Stegostoma tigrinum: one gene and its partner. The protein of the gene in region 2 interacts with the protein of the main gene of each other region in a biochemical or structural test. Links are inferred from orthologs where the notes say so. Each region holds a gene or a part of one and is shown on either strand. Other genes may lie near its edges.

Region 1 (7,160 bases), on a different chromosome or scaffold from region 2:
GAACAGAGGGATCTTGGTGTGCAGATACATAGATCCCTTAAAATGGCCACCCAAGTGGACAGGGTTGTTAAGAAAGCATATGGTGTTTTGGCTTTCATTAACAGGGGGATTGAGTTTAAGAGTCGTGAGATCTTGTTGCAGCTCTATAAAACTTTGGTTAGACCGCACTTGGAATACTGCGTCCAGTTCTGGGCGCCCTATTATAGGAAAGATGTGGATGCTTTGGAGAGGGTTCAGAGGAGGTTTACCAGGATGCTGCCTGGACTGGAGGGCTTATCTTATGAAGAGAGGTTGACTGAGCTCGGTCTCTCTTCATTGGAGAAAAGGAGGAGGAGAGGGGACCTAATTGAGGTATACAAGATAATGAGAGGCATAGATAGAGTTGATAGCCAGAGACTATTTCCCAGGGCAGAAATGGCTAGCACGAGGGGTCATAGTTTTAAGCTGGTTGGTGGAAAGTATAGAGGGGATGTCAGAGGCAGGTTCTTTACGCAGAGAGTTGTGAGAGCATGGAATGCGTTGCCAGCAGCAGTTGTGGAAGCAAGGTCATTGGGGTCATTTAAGAGACTGCTGGACATGTATATGGTCACAGAAATTTGAGGGTGCATACATGAGGATCAATGGTCGGCACAACATTGTGGGCTGAAGGGCCTGTTCTGTGCTGTACTGTTCTATGTTCTATGTTCTAAAATAGAAATTGCTGGAAAAGCTCTGCAGGTCTGGCAGCTTCTGCAGAGATAGAATTCTGCTACTTCACGATCTTTGAAGGAAGATGGACAGATGCTGGAGGATGAGGAACCTACAGGGTCAAGGTTGGGGTATGGGAATAAGCAAAATCACTTTTCCAAAGATCCAGCACAGACATCAGGGGTAGAATGGCCTCCACAGTTTAAGGTCAGAGGGGAGAGACTAAAAACAAAAGAGTCCAGAGGGCAGGTACATGGATGGGATAAGTATGGAGGGATATGGACCAAATGCAGGCAAATGGGACTAGATTAATTGTGGAAACTGTGTGGCATGGGCAAGATGGGCTGTAGGGCCGGTATCCACATGGCTAACCTCTGACTCCATGTGTACCACAGATAACTACTTCTCTTCTCAACCAAACCAGGCCATAAGGAACTTCATGAATTAGGACTGGGCTGATGGTTTTTAAGGGTACAAGTACTGGAGCAAGTGGGAAGGGGGATCTTCAGGAGATCTTCTCTCCCTAAACCTCTCCCACTCATCTAGCCACAGATGCCTGACTGGTTTCTGCATTGAGAACACTAATCGAGACGGGGTCAGGGGTTGCGTACCGCATGGATTCTCTGGATCTTGCTTCTCACAGAATTCCCAGAAGTGATAAAAATCTTCTGGCATCTGTAGCTTGTAGAGATCCCGAACTTCTTGTCGCAGTTCCTCAGGAATGCTGGAATTCTCTCCTCGGTTCTTCTTACCATCTTCAGCTACCGGGTTCTTAGACTGAGGTAAATGAATCACAAAGAAAACTGAAATAATTCAAACAGTAAACACTGCAACATTCCCAAAACACTAAAACAGCTCCCGAGGCAGCAGGAAGTGTAGATGGAGTCAGTTACAGAGGGGGGAAGCAGAGACCTAGTTCTCTAAGAGTTTGGGGATTAGTTTGTTTGGAATTGTGGCATCAAAGGCAAAACTACAGTCAATAAGTGGGATCACTTACAGATGCCCTCTGGCCCAAGCCTCTCTCATATGGGAGAACAATCTTTCTGCGCTTATACTGCCAAGTCCCTGAGAATCTTGAATGTTTCAATAAGGTCACCTCTCATTCTTTTATTTTCTAACCCTGCCTTTTGAGATGGTCTAGTAGGTCACTCAGTTCAAGGGCAATTAGGAATGGTCAACAAATGCTGTTCCTGTCAGTGGTGCCCACATTGTGCTGAATAACAAATGAACAAAAGAGACACTGTATAACGTTTTCACCTTTGTTGCTGGTGATTTGGAGGGGAATTTGCTGTTTTTAATAGTTCCCCATAAGTCTACTCCCTGTATCCTGGGTAGTGGAGGTTTCTGCACATATTTTGTAAAAAAATACTGAAAAAACACGTGGCCTTTCACAGAAACATACAATTGACAGAAGTGACTCAAAACGTTAACTCTTGTTTTCTCTCTCTCCACAGATGCTGCCAGACCAGCTGTGTTGAGGCTGGTTTTGTTTGTTTCCAACTCCCGCAGTTCTTTGTCGTCATTTTAGTTGACAGAAGTCTTGTTCCACCCTTCCCTCTGATATAGGCGAGACACTCAATACCTTTCCTTTTGTCAAAAATATCACACATTTATCTGAAAATAAATGGTGCAGGTAAGGCTTATGGGGTCAATGCCTCACTTAATCCAAAACAGCACTGGAGCAAAGAATCTGCTCCATTGTCGCATCTAATATCTTTGCAATGAGAGACTTACTAACACTTTAGTAAAGACATTGTTAGTAACATTTAGTGAAACAATGTTGCTGCTCTTTAATCCCTGGGACACATTGTTACTTCCGGAGCTACAGTGTATCACGCTGAAAACAATCCCGTATTCACCAGACTATCCTCATCCATTTACCTCGGAGCTTCTGAATGCAGCCTTCCTCTTCCCGCGTCCCGCCATATTCAGCAAACGCGACTTTACCCGGGCGGCAGAATAAAGACGGAGACACACTGAACACACCCCCAAACCAGTCAGCTCCCCGCCTCCGCCACTGGGACACGGTCACCTCTCCGCCTCCGCCACAGGGCCGCAGTCAGTCAACGGCCTGCCTCCGCCAGAGGGACACAGTCAATCAATTCCCCGCCTCCGACACAGGGCCACAGTCAGCTCCTCTCCTCCGCCTAGGTACACAGTCAGACAACTGACCGCCTCCGCCAGAGGGAAACATTCAGCTGCCGTCCTCCGTGACAGGGACACAGTCAGCTCCCCCCTCCACCAGAGGGACAAAGTCAGTCAATCAGCCACCTCCACCAGAGGGACATAGTCAGTTAATAAAATGTGAGGCTGGATGAACACAGCAGGCCCAGCAGCATCTCAGGAGCACAAAAGCTGACGTTTCGGGCCTAGACCCTTCATCAGAGAGGGGGATGGGGAGAGGGAACTGGAATAAATAGGGAGAGAGGGGGAGGCGGACCGAAGATGGAGAGTAAAGAAGATAGGTGGAGAGGAGAGTATAGGTGGGGAGGTAGGGAGGGGATAGGTCAGTCCAGGAAAGATGGACAGGTCAAGGAGGTGGGATGAGGTTAGTAGGTAGGAGATGGAGGTGCGGCTTGGGGTGGGAGGAAGGGATGGGTGAGAGGAAGAACAGGTTAGGGAGGCAGAGACAGGTTGGACTGGTTTTGGGATGCAGTGGGTGGAGGGGAAGAGCTGGGCTGGTTGTGTGGTGCAGTGGGGGGAGGGGACGAACTGGGCTGGTTTTGGGATGCAGTAGGGGAAGGGGAGATTTTGAAACTGGTGAAGTCCACATTGATACCATTGGGCTGTAGAGTTCCCAAGCGGAATATGAGCTGCTGTTCCTGCAACCTTCAGGTGGCATCATTGTGGCACTGCAGGAGGCCCATGATGGACATGTCATCTAAAGAATGGGAGGGGGAGTGGAAATGGTTTGCGACTGGGAGGTGCAGATCTCCGCCTCCGCCAGAGGGACACAGTCAGCTCCTCTCCTCTGCCACAGGGGCACAGTCAGTCAACTGATCGACTCCGCCTGAGGGACGCAGTCAGCTCCCCTCTGCCGTTTACTGAGGCATCTTCCTGTCTCAGATTTGGTATGAGCCACAGACAAACTGGGAATGAAGTTCCATTCTTGCCTGGGGAGCTGCTGGTGTAGTGGGAATGAAAGAACAAAGAAAATTACAGCACAGGAACAGGCCCTTCAAACCTACACCGATCCAGATCTTCCGTGTAAACCTGTTGCCTATTTTCCAAGGATCTGTATCCCTTTGCTCCCTGCCCATCCATGTACCTGTCCAGATACATCCTAAAAGATGTTGGGCGGCACTGTGGCTCAGTGGTTGGCTCTGCAGTCTCACAGCGCCAGGGAACCGGGTTCGATTCCAGCCTCGGTTAACTGTCTGTGTGGAGTTTGCACATTCTTCCTGTGTCTGCGTGGGTTTTCTCCGGGTGCTCCGGTTTCCTCCCACAGTCCAAAGATGTGCAGGCTAGGTGAATCGGCCATGCTAAATTGCCCGTAGTGTTCATGGGTGTGTGTGTTATAGGAGGATGGGTCTGGGTGGGATGCTCCAAGGGGCGGTGTGGACTTGTTGGGCCGAAGGGCCTGTTTCCACACTGTAGGGAATCTAATCTAATTACAGTATTGTGTCTCCATCTACCACCTCTGCTGGCAACGTGTTCCAGGCACCCACCACCCTCTGAGTAAAGAACTTCCCACGCATATCTCCCTTAAACTTCCCTCCTCTCACTTTGAACTCATGACCCCTAGTAATTGAGTCCCCCACTCTGGGAAAAAGCTTCTTGCCATCCACCCTGTCTATACCCCTCATGATTTTGTAGACCTCAATCAGGTCCCCCCTCAATCTCTGACTTTCTAATGAAAATAATCCTAATTTACTCAACCTTTCTTTATAGCTAGCGCCGTCCATACCAGGCAACATCTTGGTGAACCTCCTCTGCACCCTCTCCAAAGCATCCACATCCTTATGGTAATGTGGCGACCAGAACTGTATGCAGTATTCCAAATGTGGCTGACCCAAAGTCCTATACAACTGTAACATGACCTGCCAACTCTTGTACTCAATATCCTGTCTGATGAATGTAAGCATGCTGTATGCCCTATTGACCTGCATTGCCACCTTCAGGGAACAATGGACCTGAACACCCAGATCTCTTTGCCCGTCAATTTTCCCCAGGGCTTTTCCATTTACTGTATCGTTTGCTCTTGAATTGGATCTTCCAAAATGCATCACCTCGTATTTAAGATAATAAAATGTGAGGCTGGATGAACACAGCAGGCCCAGCAGCATCTCAGGAGCACAAAAGCTGACGTTTCAGGCCTAGACCCTTCATCAGAGAGGGGGATGGGGTGAGGGTTCTGGAATAAATAGGGAGAGAGGGGGAGGCGGACCGAAGATGGAGAGAAAAGAAGATAGGTGGAGAGGGGAGTCGTATTTGCCTGGATTGAACTCCATCTGCTATTTCTCTGCCCAACTCTCCAATCTGATTATATTTTGCTGCATTCTCCAACAGTCCCCTTCACTACCTGCTACTCCACCAATCTTAGTGTCATCTGCAAACTTGCTAATCAGACTAACTATACCTTTCTCCAGATCATTTACGTATATCACACACAATGTTGGTCCCAACATGGATCCCTGTGGAACACCACTGGACACAGTTCTCCATTTTGAGAAACTTCTCTGTCTCCTGTTGCCCAGTCAGTTCTCTATCCATCTAGCTAGTACAGCATGGACCCCATGCGACTTCACTTTCTCCATCAGCCTACCACGGGGAACCTTATCAAATGCCTTAATGAAGCCCTTCACATATCTATCAACTTTGTCACTTCCTCAAAGAATTCTATCAAGTTGGTAAGACATGACCTTCCCTGCACATAACCATGCTGCCTACCACTAATAAGCCCATTTTCTTCCAAATGGGAATAGATTCTATCCCTCAGTATCTTCTCCAGCAGTTTCCCCACCACTGACGTTAGGCTCACCGGTCTACAATTGCCTGGATTATCCTTGCTACCCTTCTTAAACAAGGGGACAACATTAGCAATTCTCCAGTCCTCCGGGACCTCACCTGTGCTCAAGGATGCAAAGATATCCAACTATATTCTCTCCCGCTTCCCTCAGTAACTTGGGATAGATCCCATCTGGACCTGGGGACTCGTCCACCCTAATGCCTTTTAGAATACCCAACACATTCCCCCTCCTTGTGCTGACCTGACCTAGAGTAATCAAACATCTATGAATGTCACTGGAAGAGAAATCTAGAACCCAAAACCAACATTCTAGGCCACATGGATTTGAATCCCACCAATGGCTGATGATGAATTTTCGAATTCAATGAAAATCTCTAAATAAAGGATGTCTTTCTAATCAACCTGTACAGAGATGCACAGCATGCAGACAGACTCTTCTGTCCAACACATCCATGCCAACAGGATATTCTAAACTAATTTAGTCCCATTTGCCAGCATTTGGCTCATAATCCGCTAAACTCTTCCTATTCAGATCCCATCGATGCTGTTTAAATGCTGTAAATGGACCAGCCTCCATCACCTCCTCTGGCAGCTCATTCTATACACACACCACGCTCTGCATGAAAACGTTGCCCCTCAAGTCCCTTTTGAATCTTTCCCGGTTCACCGAAGTCCTCTAGCTCATAGATGTATTACACACCTCTGGAGCAGGTGGGATTTGAACCCAGGCTTCCTGGGTCCTGTGACATCATTGTCAATGGTAGTTAAAACCCCTCTGATTCACCCCTGCCCTTCAGAGGAGGAAATTGTTGTCTTTTCCTGGTCTCAGCTTCACATGATTCCAGGCCCACAGAAATGTGCTTGATTCTTAATGCCCTGTGGTAATTAGGGATGGGTAATAAATACTGGCCCAATAAGTGACACCCACATCCCAATAACCAAAAAACAAAAAATGGATCAGCAGTGAAACATTTGCTTTTGGAATTGAGCAGCTCTTTATCACCGTGGTATCTCCTGGGGAAATCTAGCGTCACTGTGACTCGTTTTGCTCTATGTCCTGTTGACGAGAGAATGGTGCTTTCTCCTGAAGAAGGGTACCCACCATCTTCTGGCACACATCCTGAAGGGTGCCCAGCTAATCCTGTGTGGATCTTCCCACAGGAGGTCGGGTTAAAGATCCAGTGGTCTGTTTTAACAAAGACCGACAAGCTGCACTGACGGAGTGAGTGTGAGAAACCTTGTGAGGACGTTGACGGGAACCTCTCTCAGACCTTTGCAGTTGTGAGATTATCTCTTTTTCCTTCTCGGATAGGGCCCAGGGATTGGCAGGGGAGGTGCCTTTGCTGGTGTTCATCATGTCCTACAAAAGAATTGCACTTTCCTAGGACCTTTCGCTATATTTAGTGCATTTTAGCCACTTTCAAAGTGTGGACTGAGACTCCCAACTTCAGCTTGGATTTCAACTCCCGGCCCCGGTGCGGTCTCAAACTCCCGACCTCAGCGC
Region 2 (7,459 bases):
AGCAACAGCAGGAGGCCATTCAGACCCCTCTTGGAGTCTGTTACACAGAATCAGGTTGAGGCCACTCAGCCACCTCCTGGACCCAGTTACAGAGGAACGGCAGGGGACCATTCAGTCCCTTGAGCCTGTCTGACTATTCATTGAGATTCTAGCTGCCATGATTCACAATTCCCAACCATTGCATCACTAGTCTGTGTACAGTTGCCAGAAAACATCCATCAATGCCACTGGTAACATTTATAGCTAGCCCACCCTAAACTTCAACAGCACTTAGTGCGAGAGATCCCAGGTCTGCTACTTGGGAAAGGAGCCCATCTTGACATCCCTTTCAAATTGCCTCCTCCTTGAAATGGAAAGTAAAGCTCCCTCTGCTCTTTTAAACAGGAAGTAAATCTCCCTCTTCTTCTCAACAGAAGGTAAAGCTCCCTCTACTCTTTTAAGCAGGAAGTGAAGTTCCTCTATTCCAATAAACTGAAAGTAAAGCTCTCTCTACTCCAATGAGCTGAAAGTAAAGCTCTCTCTACTCTTTGCCCGTCAAACATTGCCAGGACAGGATCATACAGTCTTCCTTCTCTTTCACAGCATAGCGCACACTCCTCTCGAAGCCTGTCTGGCTGTTCTCCTGGGCCATTTTCTTCAAATCCACTCGCAGGGTGATCTTCGAAGGAAGAGACAGCTGAACGGAGGTATTCCCGGACCTGGGGGGGGGGGGGGGGGGGGGGGGGGGAAGAGGGCAAGATAAGGTGCAGTGTTAGGTCAATGCGACGGACTTGGAAAGGCTCGAGTTTGTGTTCCCTGGTCCGAAAGTCCAACCCTGCCCCCTCGTTCTTCACTTAACACACTCCTTCAAATCTCCAACAGGACAGCGTTCTAGAGCCAACCACCTTCGGCTGCTTCATCAATGACCGCACCCACCCCCACAGGCAGCAGAATCGGGGATGTTCACCGATGACTGCACAGTGTACAGCACCATTCGTGACTCCTCAGGTCCTGAAGCAGTCCGCGTTCAAATGCAACAAGATCTGGACAATATCCAGGCTTGGGCTGGCAAGTGGCAGGTAACACTGATGCCACACAAATGCCAGGCAGTGACCATCTCTAGTAAGGGAAAATCTAACCGTTGTCCCCACTATCCTGGGGATTATCATTCACCAGAACCTGAACTTGGACCGGCCCCACATAAACACAAGGGGCTACAAGAGTAGGTCAGAGGCTGGGAATCCTGTAGCGAGTCACTCACCTCCTGACTCTTCCCTCTTCCACAGGCACACACACAGGCACACACCCCACCCCTGTCTGATGGGATATTCCCCACTTGCACTGGGTGCAGGCAGCTCCGACATCATTCGAGAAGTCGACACCACCCAGGGACAAACCAGCCAACCGCTCAATTGGCATGGCATCCACAAACACCAACACTCAGTCGCAGCAGTGTGTACCATCTACAAGATGCGCTGCAGAAACCCACTGAGGCTCCGTAATTCAGTACCTTCCAAAACCCCACACCCTCCACCATCAATATGGACAAGGGGCAGCAGATACATAGGAACACCAGCCCCCTGCAAGCTCTCCATCCCAACCTGGAAATATATTACCATCATTGGGCCTGGAACTCCCTCCCTATCAGCAGTCTAGGTGGGCGCACCATGCACTGGTCCAGGGAGACAGGCAACAGATCCTGGGTCTAGCCAGTGAAACCAACATTCCTGGAAAAACTTAAAACACGCAACTTCACAGTCACACAATCAGTTAAATAAGATCGCGAGAGAAGACGGCAGACCTAGCGAGAGGGGCACCATGTAAGACCGAGAGAGAGCGAGAGAGAGCGAGAGGGAGGGTGTGTGTGGAAGCGGACAGACTGCAAGACAGAGATAGACAGGTGGGGTATGTGGAGGGGGACAGACTGACAGAGAGAGAGATAGAGAAAGGGGAAGAGAGAGAGAGACAGAGAGGGAGGGAGCCAGTGAGAGAGAAGGTGGGAGGTGGAGATGTTTTGGGTCATTCCTCTGCTATGGGCACGGGTACCTGAAGCTGCAGAAATTTCAATCATAGGGAAGGAACTTGAGAGTCGGGAATCAGAAGCAAGCAGGGATATGAAGGTTTTGGGACGGAAGAAGATCACAGAGTTGGGGGAAGGTAAAACTAGGCTGGGAGGCGGACAGACAGGTGGGATCAGAGACGATGGAAGGATTTGAGTTTTGAACTCGAGGCGCCTTTGGCAGAACACTGCTTTTTGACACTTACCGCAAAGCCTCTGAAAGCTCCCGCTCATGCTCGGCCGAGTAAACATTCCAGGATCCGTCATCCGCTTCCCATTCCCAACGGCCAGCTAACTCATTGAGACCCACCTCCTCTTCATCATTGTCTGCCGTCGCTCTCTTGCGGCCTGCAGGGAGAACACCAGTCCCACTACCATAACTCTCACACACCACCGAGGTAAAACTTATCAATATCCAGGCTTGGGGTGACAAGTGCCTCGTAACATTTGCGCCACACAAATGCCAGGCTGTGACCATCCCCAAATCAAAGAAAATCTAACCACCCCCCTCCCTTGACATTCAATGGCGTTGCCATCACTGAAACCCGCCCCCCCCCCCACAATCAACATCCTCATAACATAAATACAGTCGCGACAAGAATAGGTCACAGGATCAAAATACTGTGGCCAGCAACTCCCCTCCTGACTCCACCAAAACCTGTCCCACCATCAACACACAGTCAGGAGTGTGATGGGATACACCCCACTTGCCCGTGGATGGGGGCAGCTCTGACAACACTCGACAGGCTCCACACTGTCCAGGGTCAAAGCGGCTCCCCACTTGATTGGCACTACATCTACAAACACCCGCTCCCCCACCCACCGATGCTCAACCGCAGCAGTGTGTAATCTACAAGACGCCCTGCAGAGACTCACAAAGGGTCCTCAGGCAGCACCTTCTACATCCCACGGCCACTTCCATCTGGAAGGATAAGGGGGCAGCAGATACATGGGAACACCAGCCCCCTGCGAGTTACCCCTCTGAGCCGCTCGTCATTCCGACTTGGAAATATATCGGCCGTTCCTTCAGTGTGGCCAGGTCAGGATCCCTGGAATTCCCTCCCTGAGGGGGACGCTGTGGGTCTACCCCACAGGACATGGGACTGCAGCAGTTCAAGGGGGCAGCTCACCGCCACTTTCTTAAGCACAACTATGACAGGCAATTAATGAATTTCAAAAAAATCCCTGTGAGGCACAGAATTGTAGAACGAGACGGCACAGAATGCCATTCAGCCCGTAGCACCGAGATCTGCTTTTTGTCATGTTTTGAAAGAAAAATCATCGACTCGTCCCAGCCCAGAGGAGCAGCGGGCATGACGCACACTTCAGGAAGAACAGGTTTTCTTCTGTTCCACTTTGTTATTGTCACATGCACCAAGATACAGTGAAATGTATAATCCGCATGCGATGCAGATAGATCATATCTTAGTTAAGTACATCAGGATAGTAAAACAGAATGCCCAATATAGTGTTCCAGCAGCAGAGAGGGTGCAGAGAGAGAACAACTCGAATATATGAGGGATCTACTCGTAGGTCTGATAACAGCAGGGAAGAAGCTGTTCTTGAATCTGTTGATATGTGTTTTCAAACTTCTGTATCTTCTGCCCGATGAAAAGAGGGTGAAGAGAGTGCAACTGAGGTGGGAGGGGTCTTTGATTATGTTAGCTGTTTTCCCGAAGCAGCAGGAAGTACAGGTGGAGTCTGTACAGCGCGGAAACAGACTCTTCGGCCCAACCAGTCCATGCTAAATCTCAAACTAGCCCCACCTGCCTGCTCCTGGCCTGTATCCCTCTAAACCTTTCCTATTCATGTACTTATCCGAATGCGTTTTAAACATTGTGACTGTACACACATCCATCACTTCCACTGGAAGCTCATTCCACACTCGGGCCACCCTCTGTATTTAAAACAAAAACCTTCACCTTTTTTTTAAATCTTTCTCCTCTCACCTTAAAAATGTGCTCTGGTCTTTAAATTCCACACTCTTAAAAGACACCTGCCATTCAACCTATCTACATCTCTCACAATTTCATAAATGTCTGTAAATTCACCCCACAACCTCCAGTGTTCCAGCTTATCCTTATAACTCAAACCGTCCATTTCAAGCAACATCCTGGTAAATCTCTTCTGAACCCTCCCCAGCTTCAACGACACCCTTCCTGTAAGAGGACAACCAGATTTGGACACAGTTCTCCAGGGACAAAAGCAGAAATTGCTTGGAAAGCTCAGCATTCTGATCTGAGGAAGGGTTGCCCCAGACCAGAAACAACAACTGATTCCTCTTCACAGGCACTGCCAGGCCTGCTGAGCTTTTCCAAAAGCTTCTGTTTTTATTTCTGGTTGACAGCATCTGCCGTTCTTTCGGGTTTTATATGGTACTCCAGACGGGGCCTAACCAACATCTTGTACAACCTCAAATTGTGTCAATGGATGGGAGGCTGGTTTGTATGATGGGCTGGGCTGTGTTCGCAACTCTCTGTAATTTCTTGCCTCAGAAACAAGGCTGAGTCTTTTTTTTCTGACTGTGCAGAAACTGGGAGCGGCACAACCTGGCGGCGGTGGGGGGGTCACAGGATTTGACCATGCAAGGAGGGGGAAGACACGCTTCATCCACACCAACGGAGCAGAGTGTCATGTTCCGAGGAGTGACAATAACCGAGAACCTGTCCCGGGGTTCCCACTCGGATGCAACGGTCAAGAAGGCTCAACAGTACCTCTTCTTCCTCAGGCGGCTCAGGAAATTCCGGGTTTTCCGTAAGGACCCTCACCAACTTTTACTGATGTACCACAGAAAGCATACCGTTCCGGGTGAACAACGGCCTGGTACGGTGACAGCTCTCCCCCAGGACCGTAAGAAACTGCAGAAGGCGGTGTGTACAGCCCAGACCATCACAGAAGCCGACCTTCCACCCATGGACTCCAGTTACTTGTCTCGTTGTTGTGGAAAGGCTGCCCATATCATCGAAGACCCCTCCAAACCTGGTAATGATCCCCTACAACCTCGTCCATCAGGCACAAGACACAGAAGCCTGAACACACGCACCATCAGGTTCAGGAACAGTTTCTTCGCTGCTGTTATTAGACTAATGAATAGACTCCCGAACTTCAAATAATGCTCATCTTGCTCGCGTTGATCTTGCTTCGCACCCCTCCTGCGCAGCGTAACCTAGATGCCTAGTTCTGTCTAAGCACCCGATAATCTGCATGAGACATAGCAAGAACTGCAGATGCTGGAGTCAGAGCTAGCACACAGCGTGGGCATGGAGGAACACAGCAGGCCAAGCAGCATCAGAGGAGCAGGAAAGCTGATGTTTCAGGTCGGGGCTAAACAGTTCTGAAGAAGGGTTCTAAACCGAAACGTCAGCTTCCCTGCTCCTTTGATGCTGCCTAATCTGCTGTGTTCCTCCAGATCCACACTGTGTTATCTATGATCTGTATGTCCTTATTTGCTATGATCTGCCTGTACTCTACACAAACACAGATTTTCACTGTACTTAGGTACACATGACAACAATAAATCAAATCAAAATCACAAATTGGGTTAGGTATGACACTGGGGGCTGACTGTGAACAAATTGGGTTGGGAACAACACCAGGGGCCTGACTGTGAACCAACTGGGACATCTACAACACCAGGGGGGGGTCTGACTGTGAACCAATTGGGATAACTACAACATCAGGGGGGGGGGGTCTGACTGTGAACCAATTGGGATAAGTACAACATCAGGGGGGGGGTCTGACTGTGAACCAATTGGGATAAGTACAACATCAGGGGGTCTGACTGTGAACCAATTGGGATAAGTACAACATCAGGGGGGGGTCTGACTGTGAACCAATTGGGATAACTACAACATCAGGGGGTCTGACTGTGAACCAATTGGGATAAGTACAACATCAGGGGGTCTGACTGTGAACCAATTGGGATAACCACAACATCAGGGGGGGTCTGACTGTGAACCAATTGGGATAACTACAACATCAGGGGGGGGGTCTGACTGTGAACCAATTGGGATAACTACAACATCAGGGGGGGGTCTGACTGTGAACCAATTGGGATAACTACAACATCGGGGGGGGGGGTCTGACTGTGAACCAATTGGGATAACTACAACATCAGGGGGTCTGACTGTGAACCAATTGGGATAAGTACAACATCAGGGGGTCTGACTGTGAACCAATTGGGATAAGTACAACACCGGGGGGGGTCTGACTGTGAACCAATTGGGATAACTACAACATCAGGGGGGGTCTGACTGTGAACCAATTGGGATAACTACAACATCAGGGGGGGTCTGACTGTGAACCAATTGGGATAACTACAACATCAGGGGGGTCTGACTGTGAACCAATTGGGATAACTACAACATCAGGGGGTCTGACTGTGAACCAATTGGGATAACTACAACATCAGGGGGGGTCTGACTGTGAACCAATTGGGATAACTACAACATCGGGGGGGGGTCTGACTGTGAACCAATTGGGATAACTACAACATCAGGGGGGGGGTCTGACTGTGAACCAATTGGGATAACTACAACATCAGGGGGGGGTCTGACTGTGAACCAATTGGGATAACTACAACATCAGGGGGGGTCTGACTGTGAACCAATTGGGATAACTACAACATCGGGGGGGGGTCTGACTGTGAACCAATTGGGATAACTACAACATCAGGGGGGGGGTCTGACTGTGAACCAATTGGGATAACTACAACATCAGGGGGGGGGTCTGACTGTGAACCAATTGGGATAAGTACAACATCAGGGGGTCTGACTGTGAACCAATTGGGATAACTACAACATCAGGGGGGGTCTGACTGTGAACCAATTGGGATAACTACAACATCGGGGGGGGTCTGACTGTGAACCAATTGGGATAAGTACAACATCAGGGGGTCTGACTGTGAACCAATTGGGATAACTACAACATCAGGGGGGGTCTGACTGTGAACCAATTGGGATAACTACAACATCAGGGGGGGGGTCTGACTGTGAACCAATTGGGATAAGTACAACATCAGGGGGGGGGTCTGACTGTGAACCAATTGGGATAAGTACAACATCAGGGGGTCTGACTGTGAACCAATTGGGATAACTACAACATCAGGGGGTCTGACTGTGAACCAATTGGGATAACTACAACATCAGGGGGTCTGACTGTGAACCAATTGGGATAACTACAACATCAGGGGGGGGTCTGACTGTGAACCAATTGGGATAACTACAACATCAGGGGGGGGTCTGACTGTGAACCAATTGGGATAACTACAACATCAGGGGGTCTGACTGTGAACCAATTGGGATAAGTACAACATCAGGGGGGGGTCTGACTGTGAACCAATTGGGATAACTACAACATCAGGGGGTCTGACTGTGAACCAATTGGGATAACCACAACATCAGGGGGGGGGTCTGACTGTGA

Evidence for each region. The genes of interacting proteins can lie anywhere in the genome.
Region 1: the proteins of parp2 (region 2) and histone PARylation factor 1 form a complex in vitro, tested with the Homo sapiens proteins (2 studies listed by BioGRID). The link is inferred for Stegostoma tigrinum from reciprocal best matches to the Homo sapiens genes PARP2 and HPF1.

What each region holds. Positions count from the first base shown.
Region 1 is NC_081356.1:127,097,514-127,104,673, reverse strand, and holds the start of histone PARylation factor 1, read right to left. Parts: upstream 3,068-7,160; 5' UTR 2,614-3,067; coding exon 2,569-2,613; intron 1,465-2,568; coding exon 1,299-1,464; intron 1-1,298. UniProt on the Homo sapiens protein: Cofactor for serine ADP-ribosylation that confers serine specificity on PARP1 and PARP2 and plays a key role in DNA damage response.
Region 2 is NW_026728242.1:133,570-141,028, reverse strand, and holds the start of parp2 (poly [ADP-ribose] polymerase 2), read right to left. Parts: upstream 3,036-7,459; coding exon 3,016-3,035; intron 2,419-3,015; coding exon 2,245-2,418; intron 699-2,244; coding exon 562-698; intron 1-561. UniProt on the Homo sapiens protein: Poly-ADP-ribosyltransferase that mediates poly-ADP-ribosylation of proteins and plays a key role in DNA repair.